Linked DNA regions of Stegostoma tigrinum. The protein of the gene in region 1 purifies or fractionates together with the protein of each later gene. This does not show direct contact. Links are inferred from orthologs where the notes say so. Each region holds a gene or a part of one and is shown in the gene's direction. Other genes may lie near its edges.

What was found.
Region 2: the proteins of mecp2 (region 1) and gtpbp4 purify together in Homo sapiens (affinity purification with mass spectrometry; 3 studies listed by BioGRID and IntAct, counting the BioPlex papers as one, with this or other methods). This does not show direct contact. The link is inferred for Stegostoma tigrinum from reciprocal best matches to the Homo sapiens genes MECP2 and GTPBP4.
Region 3: the proteins of mecp2 (region 1) and ddx56 purify together in Homo sapiens (affinity purification with mass spectrometry; 3 studies listed by BioGRID and IntAct, with this or other methods). This does not show direct contact. The link is inferred for Stegostoma tigrinum from reciprocal best matches to the Homo sapiens genes MECP2 and DDX56.
Region 4: the proteins of mecp2 (region 1) and kpna4 purify together in Homo sapiens (affinity purification with mass spectrometry; 3 studies listed by BioGRID and IntAct, counting the BioPlex papers as one, with this or other methods). This does not show direct contact. The link is inferred for Stegostoma tigrinum from reciprocal best matches to the Homo sapiens genes MECP2 and KPNA4.

Annotation. Positions count from the first base shown.
Region 1 is NC_081402.1:3,533,852-3,541,353, reverse strand, and holds the start of mecp2 (methyl-CpG-binding protein 2), read left to right. Parts: upstream 1-4,489; 5' UTR 4,490-4,561; coding exon 4,562-4,593; intron 4,594-4,971; exon of another isoform or gene 4,972-5,088; intron 5,089-7,502. UniProt on the Homo sapiens protein: Chromosomal protein that binds to methylated DNA. It can bind specifically to a single methyl-CpG pair. It is not influenced by sequences flanking the methyl-CpGs.
Region 2 is NC_081355.1:136,686,888-136,694,589, reverse strand, and holds the start of gtpbp4 (nucleolar GTP-binding protein 1), read left to right. Parts: upstream 1-4,689; 5' UTR 4,690-4,775; coding exon 4,776-4,823; intron 4,824-7,702. UniProt on the Homo sapiens protein: Involved in the biogenesis of the 60S ribosomal subunit. Acts as a TP53 repressor, preventing TP53 stabilization and cell cycle arrest.
Region 3 is NC_081393.1:10,121,016-10,128,591, reverse strand, and holds the start of ddx56 (probable ATP-dependent RNA helicase DDX56), read left to right. Parts: upstream 1-4,568; 5' UTR 4,569-4,617; coding exon 4,618-4,674; intron 4,675-7,576. UniProt on the Homo sapiens protein: Nucleolar RNA helicase that plays a role in various biological processes including innate immunity, ribosome biogenesis or nucleolus organization. Plays an essential role in maintaining nucleolar integrity in planarian stem cells.
Region 4 is NC_081367.1:27,530,185-27,537,896, reverse strand, and holds the start of kpna4 (importin subunit alpha-3), read left to right. Parts: upstream 1-4,694; 5' UTR 4,695-4,869; coding exon 4,870-4,929; intron 4,930-7,712. UniProt on the Homo sapiens protein: Functions in nuclear protein import as an adapter protein for nuclear receptor KPNB1. Binds specifically and directly to substrates containing either a simple or bipartite NLS motif.

The DNA of each region.
Region 1 (7,502 bases):
AATGAAATAAAAAAAGAGGCAAGTGAAGACGTCCAACCTGAACAACGCAAGTCAACTGAGCTGCATCTAATTTCATGGGAGTCAGAGCAAATCACTGCAAAAAAAACTGCTCCTTCCATTAGAAAATGATTGCATGATCCAGAAATCTAGAATAATACAAGGAAGAACATTCAGGGGATTACAGATGCTCTAGATAAGAATGGCCAACAAGAGCATCTACAAAGAACAATGTTCTTTAAATCACAGAATTGTTAGAGCACAGAAGGAGACTATTTGGTCCATCGTACCTCCGTGGCTCTTTAAAAGAGCATGAAAACAGCAGGCTTGGAGGGCCGAAGGGCCTGTTCCTGTGCTGTAATTTTCTTTTCTTTTTCTTTGTTCAAAACCTAATGTCAATCTCCTGTCATTTATTGTACACTTGCACACTATTTCTATCCAAATATTCATCTATGTGAAGGAGACCTGAAAGATAAAAAGTCCTCTAGCAGAGAAATGGTCACAAGTCAGAACCAAAGTCAACAATCATCAATCAAGCAAGAGATCTACCATCCTTTTATATCTGAGAGAGTATGTTCTGAGAAAAGAGTGAAAAATCTAGAACACCCGAAGGTAGAGATCTGGGAGCAGATGGGAGAGTGGTAAATGTAACAAAGATATTTACACAATTATTTAATGAGTTCACTATTTTAAAGAAAGTATATTTTTAATTTTACTTTATTTTTGATTATGAACTGAAATGGGAAAAAGGACTGTCTTAAACACCAGGGACCGTGCAAAGAATTGCTGTACTTTTTAACAGTAGATTACTCAATACTCATTGTATGTGCTGTTTGCACAGCTGCTTGTTCAAGCAGAGGGTGAGGTTACTACAGACATGCTGATCCTGGGGTGTGTACGAAGGGAAATTCCCCTGGCAACAAGAAGATGATTTCTCTGTGGATTAGTGATCATTGGTTGATGACATGGCCTCTTGCCCGCTACCAACTACGCGGTTAGTGCCCTGGTTACTGGATAGCTTATGGGTGTGAATATTTGGTTAGAAGTCATCAGACCATTGAAAAGGAAAGAGCTAATACGGTATGAAGCTGGATGAACACAGCAGGCCAAGCAGCATCAGAGGAGCAGGAAAGGTTTACGTTTCGGATTGCGACCCTTCTTCAGAAAAGGAAAGAGCTGTTCTTTTGTTTGCATTGGAGCCTGAAAAAAGCCAGTCTATCTCTTCCCATCAGTTCTGTAAATTGTGGCTCTTAATCTATAGATCAGACACTTTATGAGCGTGAACAGCCACCCTGTCCCACCTGCAAGCAAGTGAAAGTACCTGGAGAAGTTTGAGTTTGATTTATTGTTATCATGCATACCAGGATACACTGGAAAAGTGTGGATTTGTGTGCTACGTGGGCAGATTGTACCATAGAAAGTGCATCAAGGTAGCAGAACTGAGTGCAGAATATAGTGTTATGGTTGCCAAGAAGGTATGGAGAGAGAAAATTAATACTTGAGATACATTCAAAACTCTGACCACAGCAGGGAAAAAGCTGTGCTTGAATCTACTTGTGCTTGTATTCAAACTTTTATATCTTCTGCCTGATGGAAGAGGGTGGAAGACAGTATAACTATGGTGGGAGGGGTCTTTAATTACGTCGGTTGTTTTCCTGAGGCAGCAAGAAATATTGATGGAGTCAGTGAATGGAAGGCTGGTTTGTGCAATAGATTGGGCTGTGTTCATAACTATCTGTGGTTTCTTGCAGAATTGGGAAGAGCAGTAGCCATACGATACTGTGATACGTCCAGATAGGATGTTTCCTCTGGTGTATCTATAAAAATTGGTAAGAGTCCTTGTGGGCATGCCCAATTTCCTTAGCTTCCTGAAGAAAGCCAAAAGGGCATCTCAGCACAGGCCGTGGACAGGGACTATTGAACTGCCTTTTCTTTCCTTGCATTTTTCTTTGTCTGTACGCTTGTGAATGGGGTTCTTCTGACTCTGATAGGACACTGGAGGTGTGTATCATGTATGCCGTCTCTTGCACCTGGAGTGTCTCAGGAGAGATTCCTTCTTTTCTTCAGGCATTAATGGTATTGAGGCTACATCCATCATGAACTCTGAGGTTTCTTCGATGTTAGATGATGGAGGAGGACCCATGGTTTCTGACAGCCGTTATGGCTGTTCTGAGGTGCCCAGGTATGTTTTGCTCCTGCCCTGTTTGCAAGGTAGCAGCTTTCATAAACCACATGTTTATTTAGGACCACCTCACCTTACCTGAACTTTGTATATCATGGGATCTAACTGTGTGTTGACCTTGACTCATAACCACACAGGGCTGTTCAATGCCAAACTTTGTCACCTTAAGTAAACTGTCTTCCTTGTTTAGAGGAGGCATGTGCCTGGCATTGGTGTTGCTGCTGCCATTTCATGCTCCCCGCTCCCCCCTGCACCCTTAAATGGGAATATTAGATATAACCTGATAGGAGTCTTCACCCATCAACAACTTTGCTGGAGCTCTCCCTGTATTTTCGTAAGGGGTGGTCCTATAATCGAACAGGAAGTGGGACAGTTTGGTATCAAGTGAGGCTGTAGGCTGTTTCTTTAAAGTTTGTGCTGCTCTTTCTGCTCAGCCATTGAATGATGGATGGTATGGAGTTGTCCAAACATGTTAAATCCCATTCAACTTTAGGGAATACTTGAAATCCCTGTTGGTAAGTAACATCCCATTGTCCGTTACCAGTAGTTTCTGTATTGTGAAAATTGTTTGCAGCTTTACAATTGTCATTTCTGAGTTTGCCGAATAAACTCTGTGTGTGTTCATACACTTTGAATGGACATCCAGAGTAACCAAGAACGTTGAGACCATGAAAGGACTGGCATTGTCAAGGGTAACTGAATGTGGGATTCCTTGATTAGCCCAGGTTAACATCCCCAATTACGGATTCACCTGGCCCTTTTTACAATTACTAAAGTAACCTCTTTGCTTTTTTTTTTAAACCTGGTTCCATAGTATCTTATAGGCTATTACATGGCAAGGCTCACCCTCAGTTTGAAAGGAATATTATAATCACGTCTTATGCTTGCTGAGCAACACATGTTCCTGGTCCAACTACACCCTCCTTTTTAAATTCTGATCCTTACTTTCAAATGTCACAATGGGCTCCTTGCATTCCACTTCCTATAACTTGTCCAAAGACACACCTTCTGCTCAATGACCTTACTCCTTTGCTTCCCCAAGACCATGTTCCATCTCACACAGTTCCGACAACACTTACATGAACCCCCTGCTCTCCCCTGACCAACCACTACTCCCCAAGATTTACTGCCATCCTCTCCATAGATCAAACCCCCTCCCAAAATCACCTCTATTCCTCTTCTAAGACCACAAACTTTTTCTCCAAAGACCAGTCCCCAATACCACCCTTCCTCCCCTCCCAATACCACCCCCTCCCAAGATCCTGCCTCCTCTGTTCTCCCAAGACTCTGCATCTTTTGCTCTATCAAGATTTTGACAGGCATCCCTGCTCCTCCAAGATTATGCCCTCTTGCGCAGTACTATGCCCACCCACCAAGACCTGTCCCCTGCTGTCCCACCACTACACCATTCTGCTACACCAAGACACCATTCCCAACCAAAAGCCCCACCTCAGCCAGAGGCCCTCCCTCTCCCAAGACGTGGAGATGCCTCTGTTGGATTGGGCTGGACAAGGTCGGAAATTGCATGACACCAAGTTATAATCCAACAGGTCTATTTGAAAACACAAGCTTTGGCAGATTAGCCCCTTCATCAGGTGATTTCACAACTTGAGACCATGCCCCTCTCCCCAAAGACCCAGCCCCCTGACCAGGGACTCCACCTCCTCCCTCTGTGAACATGGCCCTTCATGATTGAACCACACCGGCTCATACATAAACCCCACCCCCTCACCCTTATAGCCATACACTCAAGCCTGGACACTTACTTTGGGACATGCCCCCCTCACAATGGGACTATGCCCCCTCGTCTGGAACCCCGTCCTCTCACACAGGGACCAATGTTCCTTCACATAAAGGATCATGCCCTCTCACTGAGGGTCCAGCTGTCCCTAAAGGACCCCATCCCCTCACCATTGGTCACTGCCACTCACTCAGGTACCCTGACATGGGGGCATCACCTCAAACAGGGACCACCCCACTTAGCACTTGAACCTGTCATCCCACAGAGTGGACGCTCCCATTTTGGAACCTGTCCCCTCATTTTGGGTCCGTATCCCTCACCAAGGGACCACGCTGTCCTCACTTTGGTACATAAAGGCTCCACCCTGGACCCACCCCCTCACTTTGGGACACACCCCATTCACTCAGACCACGCCCCCTCACGCACGTTCGACGCCCTCTGTCGCTTTGGACTCCGCCCCACCCACCCTTCCCGCCCAACTCCACCAAGCACCCCGCCCCCTCCTTCCCCGCCTCCACCCACTTCTCATTCCCCCCACCTTCACCCGGAACCCTCCCTACCCGAAACTCCGAACGCTCGCGAGATCTCGGCCGGTCGGGCCGCCCGCCCTGCCGGTGTGACGCGCTGGAAATAATTTGAAAATGGCCGCCGCGCCGAGCGGAGGAGAGAGGCTGTGAGTACTGGGAGAGGAGGAGGAGGAAGAGTGCAGTGGTCGGGGGAGGGGGGCGAAGCGGGATTGGAGAAGCAGCTCCGGCCCTGGTCCGAGAGAGAAAACCAGAGATCGGTCAATCCCCCTTCCGTGCTTCGGGACGGGAGGGGGGGAGGTGAACATATGCCGGCGAATGAACGGCGAAGGGGGGGGGGGTGAGAAGTTGAGAGAGAGGGCGGAGGTAGGCCCGGCCTCTTTCTCGCGCGGTGGCGGTCCCGATAATAAGCGGATTGTTTCACACACACAAAACTTGCCCGGTCTAGTGATAATAAATGGTATTTTTTTTGAAAAAGTTAAAAAATAAAGAGGGAGAGGATGGAACCGGTGGCGAGCGAGGCCTACCTCCAAAGGGTGGGGTGGACGGTCGGTCGGAGGTCGACGCTCGGCTCCTGGGCGCTCAGGGCCCGCAGCCGTTGGAGACGGCGCGAGCGGGCTAACGGTCGGGCCCGCGCGAGCGCGGAGTCATGGCAACCTCCTGTTCTACCCCCTCCCCCCGACAATCATCACCGGGGCGACGCCATGGCAACCAGGCGCGCAAGCGGGGTACCCGGGGGCAACCCCCTTCCCTCCATCTCCCGTCACCCCCTCACACTCTTAGCCTCTCTGTCTCCAAGTCAACACCAGCGTGTCTCTCTTTGCTCCCTAACACATAACAAATCGCCCTGATTTCACAGAGCAGGGTGATCGAATGGGTGGTGGGATGTTGGAGTTTGTGTGTGTTTGTGTTGGAATCTGATGTGCTAATCATTTTATGGCATAGTCACCTTATTTCCACCACTTCTTGCCCACTCTCTGTCAACCATGTCTTGCCATTTTCTCCCTCGTTCTCAACTCACCCTGAATTTGCCAAATTCCCAACACTAACATCCTCCCTTCCCCGTCTTTTGTCCCCCTCCCTCCCTCCCTCCCTTCCCCGTCTTTTGTCCCCCTCCCTCCCTCCCTCCCTCCCTTCCCCGTCTTTTGTCCCCCTCCCTCCCTCCCTCCCTCCCTTCCCCGTCTTTTGTCCCCCTCCCTCCCTCCCTCCCTCCCTCCCTCCCTCCCTCCCTTCCCCGTCTTTTGTCCCCCTCCCTCCCTCCCTCCCTTCCCCGTCTTTTGTCCCCCTCCCTCCCTCCCTCCCTTCCCCGTCTTTTGTCCCCCTCCCTCCCTTCCCCGTCTTTTGTCCCCCTCCCTCCCTTCCCCGTCTTTTGTCCCCCTCCCTCCCTTCCCCGTCTTTTGTCCCCCTCCCTCCCTTCCCCGTCTTTTGTCCCCCTCCCTCCCTTCCCCGTCTTTTGTCCCCCTCCCTCCCTTCCCCGTCTTTTGTCCCCCTCCCTCCCTTCCCCGTCTTTTGTCCCCCTCCCTCCCTTCCCCGTCTTTTGTCCCCCTCCCTCCCTTCCCCGTCTTTTGTCCCCCTCCCTCCCTTCCCCGTCTTTTGTCCCCCTCCCTCCCTTCCCCGTCTTTTGTCCCCCTCCCTCCCTTCCCCGTCTTTTGTCCCCCTCCCTCCCTTCCCCGTCTTTTGTCCCCCTCCCTCCCTTCCCCGTCTTTTGTCCCCCTCCCTCCCTTCCCCGTCTTTTGTCCCCCTCCCTCCCTTCCCCGTCTTTTGTCCCCCTCCCTCCCTTCCCCGTCTTTTGTCCCCCTCCCTCCCTTCCCCGTCTTTTGTCCCCCTCCCTCCCTTCCCCGTCTTTTGTCCCCCTCCCTCCCTTCCCCGTCTTTTGTCCCCCTCCCTCCCTTCCCCGTCTTTTGTCCCCCTCCCTCCCTTCCCCGTCTTTTGTCCCCCTCCCTCCCTTCCCCGTCTTTTGTCCCCCTCCCTCCCTTCCCCGTCTTTTGTCCCCCTCCCTCCCTTCCCCGTCTTTTGTCCCCCTCCCTCCCTTCCCCGTCTTTTGTCCCCCTCCCTCCCTTCCCCGTCTTTTGTCCCCCTCCCTCCCTTCCCCGTCTTTTGTCCCCCTCCCTCCCTTCCCCGTCTTTTGTCCCCCTCCCTCCCTTCCCCGTCTTTTGTCCCCCTCCCTCCCTTCCCCGTCTTTTGTCCCCCTCCCTCCCTTCCCCGTCTTTTGTCCCCCTCCCTCCCTTCCCCGTCTTTTGTCCCCCTCCCTCCCTTCCCCGTCTTTTGTCCCCCTCCCTCCCTTCCCCGTCTTTTGTCCCCCTCCCTCCCTTCCCCGTCTTTTGTCCCCCTCCCTCCCTTCCCCGTCTTTTGTCCCCCTCCCTCCCTTCCCCGTCTTTTGTCCCCCTCCCTCCCTTCCCCGTCTTTTGTCCCCCTCCCTCCCTTCCCCGTCTTTTGTCCCCCTCCCTCCCTTCCCCGTCTTTTGTCCCCCTCCCTCCCTTCCCCGTCTTTTGTCCCCCTCCCTCCCTTCCCCGTCTTTTGTCCCCCTCCCTCCCTTCCCCGTCTTTTGTCCCCCTCCCTCCCTTCCCCGTCTTTTGTCCCCCTCCCTCCCTTCCCCGTCTTTTGTCCCCCTCCCTCCCTTCCCCGTCTTTTGTCCCCCTCCCTCCCTTCCCCGTCTTTTGTCCCCCTCCCTCCCTTCCCCGTCTTTTGTCCCCCTCCCTCCCTTCCCCGTCTTTTGTCCCCCTCCCTCCCTTCCCCGTCTTTTGTCCCCCTCCCTCCCTTCCCCGTCTTTTGTCCCCCTCCCTCCCTTCCCCGTCTTTTGTCCCCCTCCCTCCCTTCCCCGTCTTTTGTCCCCCTCCCTCCCTTCCCCGTCTTTTGTCCCCCTCCCTCCCTTCCCCGTCTTTTGTCCCCCTCCCTCCCTTCCCCGTCTTTTGTCCCCCTCCCTCCCTTCCCCGTCTTTTGTCCCCCTCCCTCCCTTCCCCGTCTTTTGTCCCCCTCCCTCCCTTCCCCGTCTTTTGTCCCCCTCCCTCCCTTCCCCGTCTTTTGTCCCCCTCCCTCCCTTCCCCGTCTTTTGTCCCCC
Region 2 (7,702 bases), on another chromosome or scaffold:
AAAAGTACTTTTTAAAAATATTTCTGTCTGCAAGGTACAGCACCTTTATGTACTTATTTTTGTAGCTTCCAGAACACTCAAGTGCACCACAACGCAAGCCAGACTGACAATCCTAAATTGTAATTCTTTGCACACTCAGGTTTCTTTTGCAAATATTGTCCAACCATGGAATCAAACCCATGTTGTACACTGTTGTGAGTTTTGCAAGTGTGGGCTTGTCGCACACAGTCAGTATGATTGCCTGTTGTGAAGAGCCAAAGGGATATGCTGTTTGATTTGATTTGCTAGTCCATAGAACATATGGCTTATGTACATGGCATCACGCCGGTAGTGAAATTCATATATCACTTTAGTTATTTGTGTGATGTGCAGAATATCTTCTGGGCTTACTGGCAGCATCCTATTCATGGTGATCAGAAATCATATTGCCAGTCCATAGGAGTAGCACAAAACAGTGTGTTGTTCAAACTTTTGAGATGTCATACCTTTCCAGGCTCATCAGAGAGATAGGCATCTTTCATGACTAAACTAACTCAGGTCTATTTATGAATTCACATGAAACAGTGAGAAATTATCTGGTCACGTAGCCATTATACTAAAGGATAGCCTAGACTAAAAAGCTGTTCAGTCACACTGAGAGATATATCTAGTGTGTACATAACTACATATATTAATATACAGGAGCCCTTTTTTTGCAAATAGGAAGAAGAGGTACACATACAGCATCCTTTTCAACCAACATGCAGATGGCAGCAATTCTCTGGTTTATTTCTCACAGCAATATGTCGAACAAGCAAAGTTAACATGCCTAGTTTAAAATTTAAACAAACTTTGGAAGTTCACTTTCAGCATCCTCCTCTCTTAAAGCATAATTGTTGTTTTCACTTTACTTTGGGACAATGCTCAAGAAGTATTAATAAATGCAACACACTATGGCAAATTGTCTTTTTTATGCAATTCTCAAATAAATTGAAAAGTTTATATTGCCATGGATGACTGATCTTGCTGTTTTTCCAAACTTCACTTGAAATATGTTCATGGGTTAAAGTGAAACGTCAAGAAATTATGATCCATGAGACAGATCAAGAGTGGCACATCTGTCCTTGCATAACAAGTGACTCAAGCACTGTGAGCATAATTTAATCAACCTGTAGATAAAGAAAAATATTTGTGTACAAAAGTTAACAGCAGTTCATTATGTTGAGTCAAGGTCATCTATCCCCATTAGATCAAATAAGTTACTGTACACTATTGCATCTGTGTTTGGAATAGCTCTTCACTGCACCTGTTCACTCTAATTCTATCTCACTGCCCTTTCTCAGTGCTGTGATCCCTATATAAACCAGTAACTTTTATAAAAAATGTGAACATCGAAGTAACGGTTGACAGAATCACGTCACAACAGTTTAAGTTTTAGGATTTTACTATAACATGCAAACTATAAGTAACATTGGGAAAAACATTGTTTTATATGGCAAATTGTAGAAATATTGGCCAGGACTGGGAAGAGCTCCTCTTTTCATTAATGAAGTTGTGCCATCAGATTTTTCATATTTAGTTGAGGGGGCAATCTGAGACTTGATTCAACATTTCACCCAAAGTCAAAACCTCCAGCAGTGAGGTACTCTCTCGGTACTGCAGTAAGGTGCCAGTTTAGCTTTATAGCTGATGTGGGATCTGACTTTGAAACAAGTGCATTCCTAGTGAACCACAAATAACCAATCCTTGTTGGAGTCAGTAATAGCCTGAAACACGCCACCCATTTGAAATTCATAGTAACTACGTGTGAGGATCCAAGGGTTTGGGTTATAAGGATAAGGAATGACTTGGAAGATAAGGGGTGCATATGTCTATTTAGGAAAGGGAAAATAAAAACTGTATTTGGATTTTTAAACTCAGAACAGAACATGAATGTTTACAATTTTTGTCTCAGGCAAAATCATTTGCAACATTCAAAATTTTCCAGGGAACCTTGATCCAACTTGTGCAGCCATAGGAAATTTAATGGGGGAAAGTAAACTTGAATATCTTCAAATCTTTTTTCAAGGATAAGAAATGAAATTGCTTATCAAACATTCAGTAGTTTCATGAATCTAACAAGATGTACTTACCAAGAAAATATGCCTCCTATTGATATAAATTTGAAGGGGAGGTTCCACTGCTCTTCTGTATTTTAGGATTTGCTTGATGAAGAATCACCCAAACAATACCTCCTACATATGAGCTTTACAACTTGTTAATTTTATGCCAAATTTTAATGACATAGATGTTCTGCTGCTATCTTTGCAACAGTGGTTCTGACATAAATAATTTTAAAATCACAGATTGACACTATACAGAAGGAATTGATTTGCCGTATTGTTTGTGTTGGCTTGAAATTGCAACCCATTAGTCTAATCTCTTGCTCTTTCACCATCTCTGTATTTTTCCACTTTAACTATTTATGCAGTTTCCTTTTGAAAGCTAACTTTTGGAGGACAGCACATTCCAGATCAACAAAGAGTGTCATGTTTATTCCTTACATTTGGCTGGATTTTTGCATGAAATGGAAAATATAGGAAGCATGTTTAGTAAGTTTGTGGATGACACCAAAACTGGTGAGGGAGTGGACAGCGAAAAAAATTATCTCAGAATACAATGGGATCTTGGTCAGTTGGGCCAATGAGTGGCAGATGGAGTTTAGTTTCAGTAAATGTGAGGTACTGTATTTCGGTAAGACAAATCAGGACAGGATTAAACTATTAATGGTATGGTCCTGGGTAGTGTTGTCGAACAGAGAGCCCACGGAGTTCAGGTAAATAGTTCCTTGAAAGTAGTATCAAGGGTAGATACTGTGGTGAAGAAGGCATTTGGCACATTTGCCCTCATTGGTCAGAGGACTGAGTGCAGGAGTTGGGATGTCATGTTAAGGTTATACAAGACATTGATAGGACCACGTTTGGAGTACTGCAGACAATTCTGGTTGCTCTGCAAAAGGGAGGATGTTATTAAACTGGAAATGCTGCAAAAAAGATTTACAAGAATGTTTCAGATATAGTAGGAACTGCAGATGTTGGGAGAAGCTGAGATAACAAGTTGTAGAGCTGAATGAACACAGCAGGCCAAGCAGCATTTGAGGAGCAGGAAGGCTGACGTTTCGGACCTAGACCCTTCTTCATTTTTCTGAAGAAGAATCTCGGCCTGAAACATCAGCCTTCCTGCTCCTCTGATGGTGCTTGGCCTGCTGTGTTCATTCAGCTCTACACCTTGTCTTCTCTTTACAAGGATGTTACCAAGATTGGACTGTTTGAGTTATAAGGAGAGGCTGGATAGGCTGGGACTCTTTTCCCTGGAGCGTAGGAGGCTGAGAAGTGGCCTTATAAAGATTTTTACAATCATAAGAGGCATAGATATGGTAAATAGCGAAGATCTTTTCCCTAGGGAAGGGGAATTCAAAACTGGAGGCATGGTTTCACGGTGAGAGGGAAAAGATATAAAAGGGACCTGATGGGCAACTTTTTGACAGAGTATGTGGAATGAATTGCGAGAGAAATTGGGAGATGCACATACACTTCAAACATTTAAAAGACATTTGGTCAGGTACATGAATAGGAAAGGCTTAGAGGGACATGAGACAAATCAGACAAATGAGATTAGTTTAGTTTGGGAAACCTGTTCAACATTGACAAGTTCAACCAAAGGGTCTATTTTTGTGCTGTATGACTTTTATAAGTCAGGAAATTTCTAGATTTGGCTCATTGCCTTGAGAAAAAGTGCCCTTTGATTTTGGACTGGGATGGGAGGCTGCAGCCCTCGGTGCAGATCGCAGGATTGAATTGCCTCTTTCTGTGCCATAACTTTTCTGTGATGCTATGGAATTGGCCACAAAAGTTGCAGGATGGTCTGCTCCAATTGTTTTGTTCCTTTTACATTCTGTTACTTCCCCATCACACTCATGATGCCCCATTTTACTGTAGTTCGTTCAGCCCACAATTCTCCACGTCAATGCCCTACAAATGTACTGACTCGTGCAGTCCATGGTCCCTCACAGTCCCATGCTAACTTAGTGCCAACTCATGCTCGCCACACACCATTTTACACCACCTAAAGCTAAAACGGCCAATATTTACAAACGGCAGACCGCGACAGCCATGGTAAAATAAAGATCTAAACGTATCCTTTATCTTGTTCACTTTGCTCTTAGTACAGAGGACCCATTCCCCTCGTTCGACACCTTAATTTACAACTATTTTACTTTATTTTCTCTCTTTCTCCACCACTAACAACGCTTTGCCTCCTCCTCGGTCAAAAGTACATATTAAAAATAAATTGACATTTTTCAGTTCCGAAGAGCCATGCTGGAGTCGAAGTTGTCAACTCTGTTTATCGCTCCACAAACACTGCCAGACCTCATGGGTTTCTCCAATGCGCTGTGTTTGTTCTAAATTAAGCATCTTTCACACTCTTCACGAAAATAAACTATTGCTCGTATTCACCAAGGCGCCAATTCTCTAACCCCACCTGCAGGTGTCGGTACAGAAAGGCGCTGTTTCACCTCCCAGACTGGGAGGAGCGCGGTGGCGCTGTTTCGCCTCGCAGACTGAGAGGAGCGTAGTGACACGTTTGGCATCTCTCAGTCTGGGTGGAGCGGTGTGGCGTCGTTTCACCTCCCAGACTGGGAGGAGCGGTGTGGCGCTGTTTCACCTTCCAGACAGGGAGGACTGAACAAGCTGGACCATCTTGTTAAGATTGCTCGTGGTTTCCTCTTCTCTCCGGTTGCGGAGTGGTGGGTCGTGATGGCGCTTTACAACTTCAAGAAGATCACGGTAGTGCCGTCCGCTAAGGTAGGTGGTGGCCGTTTGGAGGCTGCGAGCGACTGGCCTATCAGACGTTGTACATATTGAAAGGCTGGGTTGGGTCAGAGTGGCGAGTAACTGGGCCGAGAGCTCCCGGACACGTGTTCCCCGTCAATCCTATATTTCCTCCGCTTGCTCAGGGCTGAGTGTAACGTCTCGGCCCGCAGCGGATGGGGATGGGGTGTAAAGGTGTATTTATCAGGTTCCGGCAATTCTTAACGTGTTCATAGGTTTGAACCCTCTCCCCAGCCGGCTTTTTATGTTCCACACACACGAACCGATTGGTCACTCTGCACTGGCCAGGTTGGGACAATGATTTAAAATATCATCGTTTTACTGATTACAGACTTGAAGGGAGTGTAGAATCTTTCCAGGACTTGGGAGTAACTCCCTCCATCACCAACCCCTACCCGTCCCAAAAAAAAGTGGCTGTCAATTCCCCTTCAATTTCATCGGCTGGTTAAAGGGACGCCCCAGTCACCGGAAGGCGTTGATGGTTGTCGAAGGCTCTTCCTTCTCCTCCGCCCATGCACCTTCTTCCTGCCCCCGCATCAATGGATCATCTCCAGTTTGATGCGCAGGTTTTCACTGCGCAGCCCGAATGAAATTTCTTTCGCCAGCTATTGGTTTGCGGGATTTTAATTTGGTTTCACTCTTTTTCAAAACCGAAGTTTGGAACTTGACACTTTTGGATTGTTTCCTCTAGCAGAGTGATGATGTGGAGCTGCCGGTGTCAGACTGGGTTGGACAAGGTCAGAAATCACACGGCGCCAGGTTATAGTCCAACAGGTTTATTTGAAACGCAAACTTTCCAAGCCTCAGCCCTTCTTCAGCTGTTAGTGAGAGAGGTAGTGTCAGACACAGAATTTATAAGTAAAAGATCAAACGTTTGCACCATTGATGAGGATGTACTAAACAAACCTAAGATGATGTTAAATCTTTAATCAGTGGAAGGTTTAATTGAATAATATGTATATGTAAATCTTTGCATTCCTTTCGAGTCACAGTCCTGAGAGAAATAAAGGTTTTTTCAGAAGAGCCAGCCTGACTCCAGTCTAAGGCACTTGCAGATTCTAAACAAGGTCTCACATCTAACGTATATTGTCTGACCTAAGATGTCACCACTTCTTTACACTGACAAAAGCCTTCATTCTCTTGGGGCTGCCACTTGAAAGGAATTTGCTGATTTCTGTGTACGTATTGATCAATTAAAACCTTCCAGCTGATTAAAGATTTAACAGCATCTTAGGTTTATTTTGTACATCCTCATCAATGGTGTGAACCTTTGGTCTTTTACTTATAAATCCTGTGTCTGATACTGCCCTCTCACTAACACCTGAAGAAGGACTGAAGCTCCAAAAGCTTGTGTTTTCAAATACACCTGTTGGACTATAACCTGGTGTCGTGTGATTTCTGACCTTGTCCTCTGGCAGAGGGCAATAATTTAGGACTGAGATGAGGGTAATCTTTTGTTGTGAATCATTGGATTCTTCGAGTCTAGAATATGTTGCATAATTGAGTGCACTTGAGTGTATGTGTGGAATAGATAGAATTTTGCAGTCTTGGAGAATCATGGAATATGAGAGACAGATAGAAAAGTGGAGTTGAAGCCGAAGGTTAGCTATGAGTGAATTCAGTGCAGGAGGAAGTTCAAAGTCCTTATGATCTGCTTCAGTTTTTTTTAATGATCTTGTGTCTTCATTATTCAAGTAAGGAGGAAAAAAAATTGTGTGCTTGGGCTTGTTAGTGATTTGCTATCTTGAGAACTTTATGCCGTGCATTTCCCTTAAGTGATGTCAAAGTCATTTCAATACATTTCTCAGTTTGAGTTTGCTAAAACATGCATTTTGTCGAAGTATTTTATCTTGTACTCATCGGGACAATCCACAGATGTCAATAGGGGAAGTAGTGGGAAAGAATTGACTGGATGAGTGCAAGATGAGAAGGCTCCATGAAATTTCTTACTCAGCATTACACACCTCCACAGTTCATTTGTGCGATGTTGTTAACCCAAAAAAATCCTGAGTCCTAAATCCAATAATTATAAGACAAAGAAAATTATTTCAAACACAGATTTTGTGTGCCTGACAAATTTGGACAATCAATATGCTTAGGTAATGGATATCTTGGTTACATCTAGGGTGCCAAAACATTGATGAATTGTAAATTTGTGGCAACTTTCATTGTCACAGGCACAGAATATAGTTCCTAACTCCAGTTAGGATTGATTCAGTAAAGAAAGCCTGAGTAAAGAGTTTCACACGTGGAATTTTGGCAACAGGTGAAGGAAGGTTGTATAGTTTAGTGGGGCTGGGTTAAGGAACAGGAGGTCGAGGTCTGAGGAACAGGCTGAGATCGAAAAGATCATGCAGAAAAAACTTTGAAAATACGCCCCGTAAACTTCATCTCCTTCAAGGTTCCAATAACCAGGTATTGGACAGCAGCAAGGCTTTCTCACTCATCATCGTACTTTTAGCTGATCTGTGTGGAGGCTGTGTCATTGTACCTTCAATTTTAAAAATTCTCATCTTTAGTTATCAATCTCACAAAGGACTATTTAATTTCTGTCACAACATTAGAGGGAGTACTGAATGTATATGTGTAAATTCAGCATCTTTTAAAGTGAGATGTTTTTAAAGACAGTTCTGCTTACTGTCACTGAACTTTACAGATGGGTAATAATACCTCTTCCATTTAACCAGAGAGCGTTCATTTTAACTGTCAGGTTTTTGCAGTTGAAAAAGTAGATAGTTTGTTCAGAAAGACATCCAGATATTTCTGCATCCGAGCTTTGCAGCCTATCAACATTTAAATAATAAGCATATTTCCTTTCCTTTCTGCCAAAATTAACAATTTGACATTTTCCC
Region 3 (7,576 bases), on another chromosome or scaffold:
CCTGCTGTGTTCATCCAGCTCCACACTTTGTTATCTCAGAGCCCGCATTCTGATCACTCATAGGCACCACACACACTATGGCTTCAGCATACATGACATAAATCATGTAATTTTCTTAGCAAATTCATGTCACTACATAAGCATAGAACCGTGAGATTGGATCTGGAACACTTTTGGGGCTGAAATCAAAGGACAGGAAGTAGCTGAACCTGTTGTTTGATCTGAGAATCAGCCTCTCAAGCATAGCAGCAGATAATATCGATTGGTGCTTTGTTGAAAGCAGTGCATTCTTTCAGTTTTCGTGTTTTTGTACTGTTGACAAGTGAAAGGAGAAAGGGCAGGACTGCTAAGTCGTTCACAGGTGTATTCCACCTGCAGATCTTGGACAAATGTTTAAGAAGCAATTCAGTCGAGCATTTTTCCTGCAAGGATTTCCATGGGGTGGAAAGTTTTGCATTGGACTGAAATAAAATTGAGTCCAAGACTGTAGCTGAGTTCAGAATCTGGAGAAATGTGGCCTTTCCCTATCTCAAATGTCCCTTTCCCTTACAATCTGCATTGTTCCTTTTCTGCCTTTTTGAACATTGCTGAATTTAATCCACCATTGTGTCTGCTTTAAACTGCTGAGAATCATTTTTCTTTGAATGAGCACATTTCTTTGACCACGGAGGGTGGTATGTTCTCATAACCTCTCACGCAGCTCAGTGTTACATTTTGTTTAACAGCATTTCTGTAAAGTGACTTTCAGTGTTTTATGACCTGAAATGTACCATGAGAATACAAGTTGTTGCAAATTGTGGAATTCAGGGTCAGTAGCTTTTAAAGGTAGATAGGGTAGTAAAATGGGCCTATATCATGCTTGCCTTCACTGGAAGGTGCATTGTGTATGAGGATAGACACGTTATGCTGCAGATATATAGACCTTTAGTTGGACCACATTTGGAATATTGTGTACAGTTCTGGTCACCAAAGTACCAGAAGATATGTATGTTTTGGACAGGGTACAGAAAAGGTTCACCAGGATGTTGCTTGGTATGGGGGATCTTAGCTAAGAAGAAAGGTCAGATAGACTGGGTTTGCTTTCACTGAAATGCAGGAGGTTGAAGGGTCGACCTGATCGAAATTTATAAGATTGTGAATGGCATACATAGAGTGGAAAGAATGAGGCTTTTTCCCAGGGCAGAGGGGTCAATTACTAGGGGACACAGGTTCAACATGTGAGGTGGGGAATGTTTCAAAGAGATGAGCGAGGCATGCTTTTCACACAAAGCGTGGTGAGTGCCTGGAATGTGCTGCCAGCAGAGATGGTGGAAGCAGGCATAACAACAGCATTCACGAGCCAATTGGACAAATCCGTAAATAGGAAGGGAACAGAAGGATACAGATTCTCGAAGTGAAGACAGTTTTAATATGGAAGGGCAAAATGTGTTGGCACAGGCTCGGAGGGCCAAAGGTGCTGTGCTTGTTCTTTGTTCTTTTACTGCTTTTTCAGTCTGAACTTGTTCCTGGTCCCACACTGGTTTGCCCACATTCAGAAACATGTTGTTAATCACATGCAGTTGTTGAAGGATTCCAAGTTCTTCACCTTCTCATTTCTGCCCAAATTCCTTCAAGTGTCTGACAATTTTATGTTCTTGGGAGCCATGAGATCCAGCTGAAAAAGCAGTGTTTTCCGAGTTTTGGACTGTTCTTTTGATCGACGCCCAGAATTTAAGATGATGTAATATTTCTGATGTACGTTTTCAGTCTCAGCTACCATCTCTAAATCACATTGGCGCCCTGCTGACTCAGTTGTTAGCAGCACATGCTTACAGCGCCAGGGACCCAGGTTTGTTTCCAGCCTTGGGTGACTGACTGTGTAGAGTTTGCACATTCTCCCAGGTCTGCACGGATTTCCTCTGGATGCTTTGTTTTCCTCCCACAATCCAAAGATATTCAGGTTAGTTTGATTGGCCATGCTAAATTGTCCAATAGTGTCCAGGGATATGCAGTTAAGATGGGTTAGCATTGTGAATAAGGGTTTACAGGATAGGATGGGAAACTGGGTCTGGGTGAGATGCTCTTTGACAAATTGGTGCAGATTCGATAGGCTGAATGGTTTCATTCCACTCTGAAGGTTTTCTAATGATTACCAGCCTATTCATCGTGCCAGCTGCAGGTGTCAAGTTTCTGCCAAATCTCATTAATGATATGTGTCAGACTGGGCTCATATTTATTGCTCATCCTGAATTGCCCTTGAGAAGGCAATTGTGAGCTGCCTTCAGTAACCACTGCGGCTCAGCTATATAGGATCATTGAATCCCTACAGTGTGGAACCAGACTATTTGACACATTGATTCTATCACAACCCTCGAAAGGACATCCCTCCCGGACCCACCCTCCTACCCTATCCCTGTAAACCTGCATTTCCCATGGCTAATCCACCAAGGCTGCACATTGCTTGACACTGTGGGCATTTCAGCACAGAAGTTCCAGGACCCAGTGACAGGGCTTGAACCTGCCACAAATTTCCAGTTCAATGTAGTGAGTGGCTTGGAAGGGAGCTTGCAGGTGGTGGTGCTCCCGTGTGTCTTCTGCCATTTTATTCTTGTGTGTGGAGGTCAGAGATTGGAAGGTGCCTTGGACGAAGCATCTGAGATCAGACTTGTGTTCCTTCTCTGTTACATTTTATTTACTAGACCGACTCTCTTGTGTCTCACTGACCAGAGTTGCTCACAATATTCAACCCGTAATCTGAGACCAGATCCGTGTACTGATCGCTCATCATCTGTCTATGTGACTGGTGAAACCATTGCATGTGTTACTACTTTGGAGTGGTCACCCATTGAATGCCATGTCTACTTCAGCTCCCAAAACTCTTTCCACTTAATCGTCGGCTATGTTTAGGATGTAGGTCACTTGTTTTGTCCTGCTGTTTCAAGATGTCAACAAGATGGCTCCTGAGCTGATGCTCATCCACTCTGACCTTTCCTTTTGTCCACTTTTTATTTACCTCTTGTCCTAAGCTCGGATGGCTTTGGCGGTGCCAAGGAACTCGTGGCAATTTGCCTGAGCCCAGCGCGGACACTCTGGCAGCTGCGAGTGAGCACCTACTTTTCCAGGTAAATGCAGGGTCTGGCATTGCATTTGGCAACTACTTAAGCAGAGGTGATGTCAGTGAGGTTGACTTTGCAGCAAAAAATGGGGATTGCCAATTTTATCCGGTGAAGCAGTGGCAGATGGGTGTCATGGTGACATTGTGTGGTCCCAGTGGGGGGAGGTGAGACTCTGATGTTGGTGGGTCTGTTGCAGGTGGAAGCAAGGGTGTGGTGCAGGAGAATTGGCCCAGCGACAGCACATGATGCCTGAAGAATGGTGAGTGACAATGGGAACTGCAGATGCTGGAGAATCCGAGATAACAAAGTGTGGAGCTGGATGAACACAGCAGGCCAAGCAGCATCTCAGGAGCACAAAAGCTGACGTTTCGGGCCTAGACCCTTCATCCCCCTCTCTGATGAAGGGTCTAGGCCCGAAACGTCAGCTTTTGTGGTCCTGAGATGCAGCTTGGCCTGCTGTGTTCATCCAGCTCCACACTTTGTTATCTCTGAAGAATGGCGATATTGTTTGGGTCTCGTGTAGATGGCTGTGGGACAGTAGAGGAGGGATGGCAGCACAGGCATTGTTGATGGGAAGCTGTCTCAGGACGGATGGACTGTCTTTAAGCTTTTTCTTTATTTTTAAAATTATTCAAAACGGTGCTGAATTGTGGCGACCATGGAAAAAAACTTCTCACTTTTGTTTCCTGTTCTCACTGTAAAATACACGTGACAGTAAGTCATAGAACATAGAACATTTCAGCACAGTACAGGCCCTTCGGCCCTCGATGTTGTGCCGACCTGTCATACTGATCTGAAGCCCATCTAACCTACACTATTCCATGTACGTCCATATGCTTGTCCAAACTCATTCAAAATTCATTCATTTTACATGCAGTATTTGACCTGTGTGCTCTGCACGTACTATTCAGCATGCTCTGGAATTTGTCAGTCCCTGCTGGGATTGTTTCGTATTCTCAGAAAATGTAATTTTTTCCCTGAAATGAAAATGCTGTGCAGAAGGGAATTTGGATTTCACTTTTCCATCTGGGTCGAACGTGGAAATCGCTTTGCGGACTTGGCAATCAAGTCAGCAAGCAACACGGTGACAAAACCTGACGATTCTGACCCAAATGAAGCGAAGTACGACGGATGTTGAACGTCAGAATCAAAAACAGAAATTGCAAGAGTTCTGGCAACATCTTTGGAGAGAAAGCCGAGTTAATATTTCCAATCCAGCGAAATGCTTCTCTTCTCAGACGATGTCAAAGCGACTGAGTTTCTCCAGAAATTTCTGTTTTTATCACAGTTCTGACCAGGGCTGTTTAACTGGAAGACAGAGTTGCCTCTTGTTTTCGGATTTGGACATGCTATTTTGAGCAATTCTTTGAGACCGATGGTTTTAACGGGAGGGCAAACCCGCACAGGCTGCGAACCAAGCTCCTCTGCACCAACTACGCGGATTGAACTGCAGTTACGCGGCGCCACCACGGACGGCAGCAGCGAGCGCCGCGTGGAGTCACGTGACATCCCGAGGCGCAAGATGGCGGCGGAGAAGTTGAGGTTCCACGAGATGGGACTGGATGAGAGAGTCTTACAGGTTTGACAGAGAGCTGGATGGATATGGGGGAATGCGAGTGTGACAGGATAGAGAGGAGATTACCAAATACAACCAATAGAACTCTGAGATAGTGGGAACTGCCGATGCTGGAGAATCTGAGATAACACGGTGGAGAGCTGGATGAACACAGCAGGCCGGGGAGCAGAAAGGCTGACGTTTCGGGTGTAGACCCTTCTTCACAAGCCGAGGGGAAGAGGGTGGGGATCGGGGGTTTGGACAAACAGCAGTGAACCTAAATGACTGGAATAGTGAACCTGGGGCCAATGGCGTGGGTAGAGTATGGGGGAGGAATAGGGGCTGGAGGGTGGTGGTGGAATAGGATATGGGTATGGGTTGAGGGGAAGATTATGGGGAAGTGGTGAGTAGGGTATGGGCGATTGGGGTGGTGGACGGTGTGGGATATGAGGAGGGGAGTGAGGATGAGGGGATGGTAGGGGAAGAGGGGAGGTTGGGGTGGGAAGCATGGGGGAAGAGGGTGGGGATAGGCAGCTTGGACAAACAGCAATGAACCTAAATGCCTAGAATGGTGAACGTGGGGGCACAGGTGTGGTTGGAGCTGAACAGTTCAAGAGAGCAGAGATGATAGGAACTGCAGATGCTGGAGAATCCAAGCTAACCAAGCGTGAAGCTGAATGAACACAGCAGGCCAAGCAGCATCTCAGGAGCACAAAAGCTGACATTTCGGGCCTAGACCCTTCATCGGAGAGGGTTCTGGAATAAATAGGGAGAGAGGAGGAGGTGGACCGAAGATGGAGAGGAGAGTATAGGTGGGGAGGTAGGGAGGGGATAGGTCAGTCCAGGAAGATGGACAGGTCAAGGAGGTGGGATGAGGTTAGGAGGTAGGAAATGGCAGTGCAGCTTGAGGTGGGAGAAGGGATAGGTGAGAGGAATAACATGTTAGGGAGGCGGGGTCAAGCTAGGCTGGTTTTGGGATGTGGTGGGGGAAGGGGAGATTTTGAAGCTTGTGAAGTCCGCATTGATACCATTGGGCTGCAGGGTTCCCAAGCGGAATATGAGTTGCTGTTCCTGCAACCTTCGGGTGGCATCATTGTGGCACTGCAGGAGGCCCATGAGGGACATGTCATCTAAAGAATGGGAGGGGGAGTGGAAATGGTTCGTGACTGGCAGGTGCAGTTGTTTATTGCGAACTGAGCAGAGGTGTTCTGCAAAGTGGTTCCCAAGCCTCTGTTTGGTTTCCCCAATGTAGAGGAAGCCACACCGGGTACGGTGGATTCAGTATACCACATTGGCAGATGTGCAGGTGAACATCTGCTTAATATGGAAAGTCATCTTAGGGCCTGGGATGTGGGTGAGGGAGGAGGTGTGGGGGCAAGTGTAGCACTTCCTGCGGTTGCAGGGGAAGGTGCCAGGTGCGGTGGGGTTGGAGGGCAGTGTGGAGCGGACAAGGGAGTCATGGAGAGAGTGGTCCCTTCGGAAGGCAGACAAGGGTGGGGATGGAAAAATGTCTGGGGTGGTGGGGTCAGATTGTAGATGGCGGAAGTGTGGGAGGATGATGCGTTGTATCCGGAGGTTGGTGGGGTGGTATGTGAGAACGAGGGGGATCCTCTTGGGGCGGTTGTGGCAGGGGCGGGGTGTGAGGCATGTGTTGCGGGAGACGCGGTCAAGGGTGTTCTCGACCACAGTTGGGGGAAAGGTGCGGTCCTTGATGGACGTGGACATCTGGGATGTGCGGGAGTGGAATGCCTCATCCTGGGGGCGGAGGCGGAGGAATTGGGAATAGGGGATGGAATTTTTGCAGGAGGGTGGGTGGGAGGAGGTATATTCTAGGTAGCTGTGGGAGTTGTTGGGCTTGAAATGGTCATCAGTTTCTACCTGGTTACCTGAGATGGAGACTGAGAGGTCCAGGAAGGTGAGGGATGTGTTGGAGATGGCCCAGGTGAACTTGAGGTTGGGGTGGAAGGTGTTGGTGAAGTGGATGAACTGTTCGAGCTCCTCTGGGGAGCAAGAGGTGGCACCGATACAGTCATCAATGTAACGGAGGAAGAGGTGGGGTTTGGGGCTTGTGTAGGTGCGGAAGAGGGACTGTTCCACGTGACCTACAAAGAGGCAGGCATAGCTTGGGCTCATGCGGGTACCCATGGCCACCCTCTTGGTCTGTAGGAAGTGGGAGGAATCGAAAGAGAAGTTGTTGAATGTGAGGACGTGTTCGGCCAGGCGGATGAGGGTGTTGGTGGAGGGAGACTGGTCGTGCCCGCGGGACAGGAAGAAGTGGAGGGCCTTGAGGCCATCTGCATGAGGGATACATGTGTATAGGGACTGGACGTCCATGGTGAAAATGAGGTGTTGGGGGCCAGGGAATTGGAAGTTTTGGAGGAGGTGGAGGGTGTGGGTTGTGTCACAGACGTAGGTCGGGAGTTCCTGGACCAAAGGGGAGAAAATGGAGTCCAGACAGGTGGAGTGATAATGGGAAGGGTCTAGGCCCGAAACGTCAGCTTTTGTGCTCCTGAGATGCTGCTGGGCCTGCTGTGTTCATCCAGCCTCACATTTCATTATCCAGACAGGTGGAGATGAGTTCGGTGGGGCAGGAACAGGCTGAGACAATAGGTTGACCAGGGCAGGCAGGTTTGTGGATTTTGGAAAGGAGATGGAAATGGGCCGTGCGGGGTTGGGGAACGTTAAGGTTGGAGCAGTCTTTGCGAGTCATGAAAACCCACAAATGTGGTAAAGCATTACTAATTCTTGCAGATTCTGAAGAAGAATTTAGACCCGAAATGTCAGCTTTTCTGCTCCTCTGATGCTGCTTGGCCTGCTGTGTTCATCCTTCTCCACATCTTGTTAACTCAGAACTCTGGATGCTGTAAATCAGAAACAAGAACAGAAATTGCTGGGAAAACTCAGCAGGTCTGGCACCAACTGTGGA
Region 4 (7,712 bases), on another chromosome or scaffold:
ATAACAAGAGTTTTTCAGCCATATTCAAATCCTGCATTCCCAAGGAACTCCAGTTCAACTACAGTTGAATAGGATGTAAAAAGTAGCAATGAAAATAAAAACCTGAAAATAAGGCACCAACCCAGTGAAACTGAAAATAAGTTGTTGCATTGTGAAAAGGGGAAGCATATGAGACATAAAGCTAAATGACACTACAGCCATCAGATCTGTAATCCTGGCACATTCAATCATGAATGATGGGGAACAAATAAACAACTAATGGAAGAAAGCTCCATGAACATCCCAATCTTCAAAGATGCTGGAGCTCAACTGTCAAGTTTGAAGCATTTCTATAATCATCCAAAGGTAATCACTGCATGATCTTTCTAGGCCTTCTCCTATGATCCACATCATCACAAATACTTAACTTCAACCAATTTCATTATTTGTGTGATGTGAATAAACAGTTGAGTCCACTAGACACAGGAAAGATTACAGGCCTGTGAAATTCCAGATGATGGTTCTGAAGATCCCAAGCCAGGAACAGTCTCAGTCTTAGCCAAACTGTCAAATATAATTGTAGTATTGGAATTTAGTCTGTTGCAAAACTGCCCAGATGTGTTCTGCTGAAATTGCACCTAAATTGTGCCTATTGCTGTCCACTGAACCACTTCCGACCATCAGTAGAATGATGGAAGAAGTCATCAATGCTCTTTCCAAGCCTGGCATACTATCAGTTAATTGATCACTGGTATTCAGTTTAGAATTCACTGGAATTATTTGGCTCAAGTCCACTTAGACCAAGCACAGGCACAAAAGCTGAATTCCAGATGTGTGATGAAAATAACTACACCTAACATAAAGGTAACATTCGACGAAGTGCAGTTCTACAAGCTTTGTTACAATGAAGACAATGATGTTTGGGGTGGAAATTCTCTAATGGCTGGAGTAAAACTGACGCAGATATATAGAACATAGAACATTACAGCACAGTACAGGCCCTTCAGCCCTCGATGTCATGCCGACCTGTCATACCAATCTGAAGCCCATCTAACCTACACTATTCCATGTACGTCCATATGCTTGTCCAATGATGACTTAAATGTACTTAAAGTTGGCGAATCTACTATCATTGCAGGCAAAGTATTCCATACCCTTGCTACTCTCTATGATCACTGGATGGGATCATCTACGTCTTAGCGAATTGCTGGTGGAGTGTCTCAGGGCAATGTTCTAGATCTAATTGTACAACTGATGCCTACACTGACATTAGTTGGCTCCAAGTCTGGACTGCTAATGCTACATGTCCACAGGCAACTAGGCATGGGACAATAAATCCAAGCTTTGTTAGGGATGTATATATTTCAGACCGAATAACAAGCCAGGAGGTAACATTCACAGAACACAAATGTCAGACAATAACTATCTCTTGAAAGGCATGACCAGTTTCCTTCCATTTTCAGTGGCAGTATCATTACTGCATCCCTTACAATAGCCCTCTTGGGGTCGTTGCTGATTAGAAACTAATCTTGACTTGTCATGTAAATAATGCTGCTACTCTAGCAAATCAGAGGCTAAATATTCTGCTGCAAGTAGCTTACCTCCTCACTCCTCAAAGCCTAGGGAGTTTACAAACACCAAGATAAATTTCCCTGGATAGGTGCTGCATTACTTTACCTTGAACAATGCATTCCACTTGATTTTCACCCATCCAATAACGTAAACATCCAATCTTTTAGAGAGAGAGTTGTGATCTGTACTATCTATTGGATACACTGGCCTCCAGATCATTACAGACTGGACATATAACAGATGATACATATTAGGATCCTATAGAAATTCTCATAAGCAAACCTATGTAAGAAACACCCAGGATGTTTAAACTCTTTTAATTGATGATCTTTGGATGACGAACAATAAAATATCAGCCATGCCACAGCGCCCATGTCTTGAGAATGAATTTAATAAAGTATTATTTTTCATTAAGGATACAAGATTTAAAAGGGGTATTGCTCTTTTTCACAAATGCTGAGAACCAACATTCTTGTTAGGATGTCCTCTGTGGAATGTGAAATTGTTCAATTTGTTTTTGTTTAAACCCTTGAGTTAACAAACCAAGATTTTATTCAGTTATTGAAGATAGGACAATTTAAAGTGACAGTCTTACTACCATGTTGATATTGGTTAGATGTTGTATTTTTATCTCAGAATAAATAAGGTTTCCGAAATGTTAAAATCAAATTCTCACAGATTTAAAAAGCTTGTCTCACTTAAAATATCTTCTGAATGATTTTGGGTAATGGTGATTAAAGAAATCAATACATTATATGACCAGATTGCATCAAAACTCTTCCCCATTACAACAGCACTTTAAACAGTTGCTGTTACCTGCACAGCAAGCACGACCTTATAACAAGTAGAAAACTTTACAATTTTTCTAGTGACTGTTGGCATGTTACATGGCAACCATTTTGTTACACAGTACCAACAAAACACAGAATGCTGATTCGAGTTTTCTAATGAAGTGCCACACAGCAAAGTGATCATACATAATGCAAAATGGTCACTATACTTGTCACAGATGCACCAGTGATGTCACCTGTCTGTAAAATGTCAATCCGCAGGAAGCATATATGCATGTGCGGTGATGTCATCATCATCGCATGCACCACAGATGAGGAGTAGGGGAGGTGAGTCAGAGACTGAAACCCCACTTGGAAAGGAAGAAAAATTGGAGCCAGGAGGTTGTGCCCAGGGACAGGGCTACTGCTGCACCTGCTCACCATCCCAAATCCTCTTGTGAACCTTTTTATTTACTCTCATTGGGTTCATCACATTAGACACTTGTGCAGCACTACTTTGTTCTGTCATGCAGTGATGTCAGTTCATAACAATGTATGTACACATTCTTTCTATCAGGTGGTGGTGGCAATTACAACACATGTGGCCACCATACAAATTTGAATAAAAACGCAATGCTCTGTTAAATTATCATTTTAGAATGGCATATTTCAGCTGCATTCACTGGCCTTTTAAAAAAATCATATATCAGAGTAATATCAAAAGAGGGCACCTGTCCAGATCTTAGGATGTCCCAAAATGATTTATAGTCAATAAGTTATTGTCAACTACAATAACGCAGAAAATGCAGCAACCAATTTGCATATATCAATACTTTACAGATAAAAATATTGGACAGTCCAATCGTCAGAACACCACTATGTGCCTTTGAACTAGTGCTGTGGAATCCTTGAGATGCAACCGAGGAGTCAACAGGCCTCAGTTTAATAATGCATATGAAACTTAATGAATGAGAAATCTGGAAATCTATAGAAAACTAAAAGCCCTTGTTTATACTGGTTTATAGGACAGCTCTTAACAGAATGATTTCCGAGTCAGCTTTACCCATATCATAGGATCGTTGTGTCATATAGATTTCAGCTCAAAAATGTAAACCAGTCACCACGAGATCATGCTGCCAGACTGGATCTTTGCTATAAAGACACTGCTTTAACAAAACATTTGAAAGAAATTGGTGTTTTTAAAAGCAACATGTACTCTCTCAGATTTAGAACTGGCCCAGGAAGACTGAGCTCAAAAGACTGTCATTTGGAAGATATAGGATTTTGCAATCAATGGCAGGGAAGCAATGCTCACTTGCCTACGGAGCTTTTGAGGGTTCTCACAACAGGTTCCCTCCGATCCAGCTTCTTTTCCAGCCTCTGGCTACAGGACATGGTCTCTGACAACAGGACAAAAAACAAGGTTCTTCAGCCAATCTGACTGAAGAATCTTTACTGAGAAGTTGAATGCAAACCAAGAACTATAAAAAGGGAAACAATTTACATAATATAAAACAACAAAAGTGTGGGGAATGTGGTTAATATTAAGGGAGAAAAATCTCCAATATGAAGTTTCTTTGGAGTTACAGGTCTTCCAGACTCGTTACAGTATTTTCAAGGCCATAAAGTTTATTCATCAATAACTATTAACTTCAGCTTTTCTTTCATTTTCCCCACAAGTGTATGCCATATTCGAGTGCACTGACACAATCCTCTCCTGGTCAATATCCTTTCTCAGGAAGAAAGCCCAACTCGGTACATTAACTTTAGTCTTTAAATGGGTTCACTATTAAGTTTCCATTTTACACTTAACACCTTATTATCGCAGCACTTCAGAGTTAAAATCATTTACAAAAAAATGTGCAGGTCAAATTATTATAAGGCAGTGAAGGCGCCAGGCGTTTTACACATTTAAAAAAAACTGTCCACAGAACTGACAACTACCTGGTATCTTCTGAACTCCTATATTTCTCAAAACTAAAGGGAGGACCTTATTCAGATTAATCCATAGCTACAAATCGCCCGAAGCCCACAGAAGCATGGCGCGCTCAAACCTAACTCCAATTGAATGTCTGCAAATTCTTCCCCTTACCCCGGGCTCTAAGTGCGCAGCGCGAAACTCGCACTCGCTCCAATATAGCAACAGCAGGCACGGTTGCTAAGGGCCGGCCGGGCCGGGGCTGGCCTGAACCAGCGAGCGGGAGCTTGGGAGAGGCCACAACTCAGTCGAACTGGCGCGGCTAGGCGACAAGCATGAGGCGCGCAGGACTGACGGAAGGCAGCGCCCCCCTGGAGTCGGGAGGACCGCCCTGGCGTCGCGACCATCCGCTCCGCATCACCGGCAGGGGCGAGCCAATCAACGTCGCTCTTACTGTGAGTTGCCCATTGCGGCGAAAGTGAGGCTGAGCGTTTTACCGGCATTTTGCCTGATTCTGGTGAAGTCAAGTGAGCTGAAAGGCAGGTGGAGGGACGGCTGCTTATTGTTTCGTTTTCACCATTAGGAATTCAGTAACCAAGGGCAAGTTTACTTCTCGAGAGGCACACGGCAATGGCGGACAACGACAAACAGCGGCTGAAGAATTTCAAGAACAAAGGGCGGGATCTGGAGGTGAATTTGATTTTTTTTATTGTTCCTTTTAGTGTTTGTGGCGGTGCCGCCGCCGCAGTGACGTCTTTAGTAATTTGTGAGGCACCCGAGGCAGGGCCTGTCTTGAGGCCTGAACCGAGCTTCCAGGCGTGAGCAAGGCAACCAGGCGGAGACGTTGGAAGTTAAAAGGATAACGTCAATAAAGAGGCTTTCAAATAACTTCGTTCTTCAGCAGGGTTCGGGATTTCCCTGTTGACTAATGACTCGTTCACAAGCAACAACACTTGGCATTTTCATGCGATTTGAAAATGAACGATTTCTGAAAAAATGTGCGTCTTGCTCTTATTTAAATATTCTGGAAGTTCGTCATTTGAAAACAAACTGCCTGTTCCAAATCACACAGTAGGATATACTTGAAGTTATTTTTACTCGAACAACACAATTTCAACGGTTAATAAATACAATGGATCAAATTCTCCTATAGGTCGTTTCTACAGGTGCTGTTTTGGTATATAGTGGTTTGTTAAATTGTTTTATGTATAGTTAGAAAGCAAATAGTGAAGCAGTCATTCTAAAGGAATACATTCCCAATAAGCCAGAATTGTAGTGCCTGCTGTATTGAAATCATTTTTGAATCTCCCAAATATATCAATGCTTTACATACAGTTCCAGAAATGTTACTTCTAGGGAATTTTTTTTTTCTAAATTTCAAGGGTAATGATACTGAAGAATGATTACAGGGAATTGTGAAAGTTGCATCTAGCCTGTGCGTTTCAGAAGTAATGCACGAATAGGTGAATCTTTTGAACTGAGAACATGCTAAAGCCAAAATTAAATTTTACTTACAAAAACAGAAGTTGCTGGAAAAGCTCAGCAAGTCTCGCAGCATCTGTGAAGACCGCGTTAACGTTTTCAGTCTGGAGACCCTTCCTCAGAACTATTAAACTTTACTTGATGTGTACTGCAATATACATCTTAATTTTATTTAGTTGGGAAACACTTGACTATTGCCAGCATAGTTCTTGTTAAATTATAACACTTAGTAGAAAGTACGGCTAAAATATTTATATTACAAAAAGGATCCCATGAAACTTGGAGTTATGATAAGGGTTGCTACTGTGACAGGAGCTCCCCCTCCATTTCACCAGAAAAGCTAACCATAAATACATGGATGTAATTGTGCCCTGTTCTTAATTGCAGTTTTTTCACTTCCCATCTAATCAGTTACAAATAATTTGAGCAAAATGAGTGGCACACATCACAAGAACTAGCAATAATGCTTCATAAGCTATAATATTTTAGTTTAAACGCTCAGTACTGATAACATTGCTGAATAATAATTTTATGCATTTGAGTTGAATTAGCACAATTGGTTGTCTTTAATCGCATTTGGTTTGTGAACATTTATAGCTTTTTTTGCCTTGGAAACAATTTAAAATCTATAATCATGTTGGCCCTCAATTGTTATAGGCAAAAAGAAGTATCAGTGATAATGGGAACTGCAGATGCTGGAGAATCCAAGATAATAAAGTGTGAAGCTGAATGAACACAGCAGGCCAAGCAGCATCTCAGGAGCACAAAAGCTGACGTTTCGGGCCTAGACCCTTCATCAGAGAGGGGATGGGGTGAGGGTTCTGGAATAAATAGGGAGAGAGGGGGATGCGGACCGAAGATGGAGAGGAGGGTATAGGTGGGGAGGTAGGGAGGGGATAGGTCAGTCCAGGGAAGACGGACAGGCCAAGGAGGTGGGATGAGGTTAGTAGGTAGGAAATGGAGGTGCGGCTTGGAGTGGGAGGAAGGGATGGGTGAGAGGAAGAACAGGTTCGGGAGGCAGAGACAGGCTGGGCTGGTTTTCGGATGCTCTGGGGGGAGGGGAAGAGCTGGGCTGGTTGTGTGGTGCAGTGGGGGGAGGGGACGAACTGGGCTGGTTTTGGGATGCGGTGGGGGAAGGGGAGATTTTGAAGCTGGTGAAGTCCACATTGATTCCATTGGGCTGCAGGGTTCCCAAGCGGAATATGAGTTGCTGTTCCTTCAACCTTCGGGTGGCATCATTGCGGCACTGCAGGAGGCCCATGATGGACATGTCGTTTGAAGAATGGGAGGGGGAGTGGAAATGGTTCGCGACTGGGAGGTGCAGTTGTTTATTGCGAACCGAGCAGAGGTGTTCTGCAAAGCGGTCCCCAAGCCTCCGCTTATTTATTGCAAACCAAGCAGAGGCTTGGGGACTGCTTTGCAGAACACCTCTGCTCGGTTCGCAAAAAACAACTGCACCTCCCAGTTGCGAACCATTTCAACTCCCCCCCCCCCCCCCCCCCCCCCATTCTTCAAACGACATGTCCATCATGGGCCTCCTGCAGTGCCGCAATGATGCCACCCGAAGGTTGCAGGAACAGCAACTCATATTCCGCTTGGGAACCCTGCAGCCCAATGGTATCAATGTGGACTTCAGCTTCAAAATCTCCCCTTCCCCCACCGCATCCCAAAACCAGCCCAGTTCGTCCCCTCCCCCCACTGCACCACACAACCAGCCCAGCTCTTCCCTCCCCCCAGAGCGTCCCAAAACCAGCCCAGCCTGTCTCTGCCTCCCTAACCTGTTCTTCCTCTCGCCCATCTCTTCCTCCCACCCCAAGCCGCACCTCCATTTCCTACCTACTAACCTCATCCCACCTCCTTGACCTGTCTGTCTGTCTGTCTTCCCTGGACTGACCTATCCCCTCCCTACCTCCCCACCTATACTCTCTCCACCTATCCTCTTTTCTCTCCATCTTCGGTCCGCTTCCCCCTCTCTCCCTATTTATTCTAGA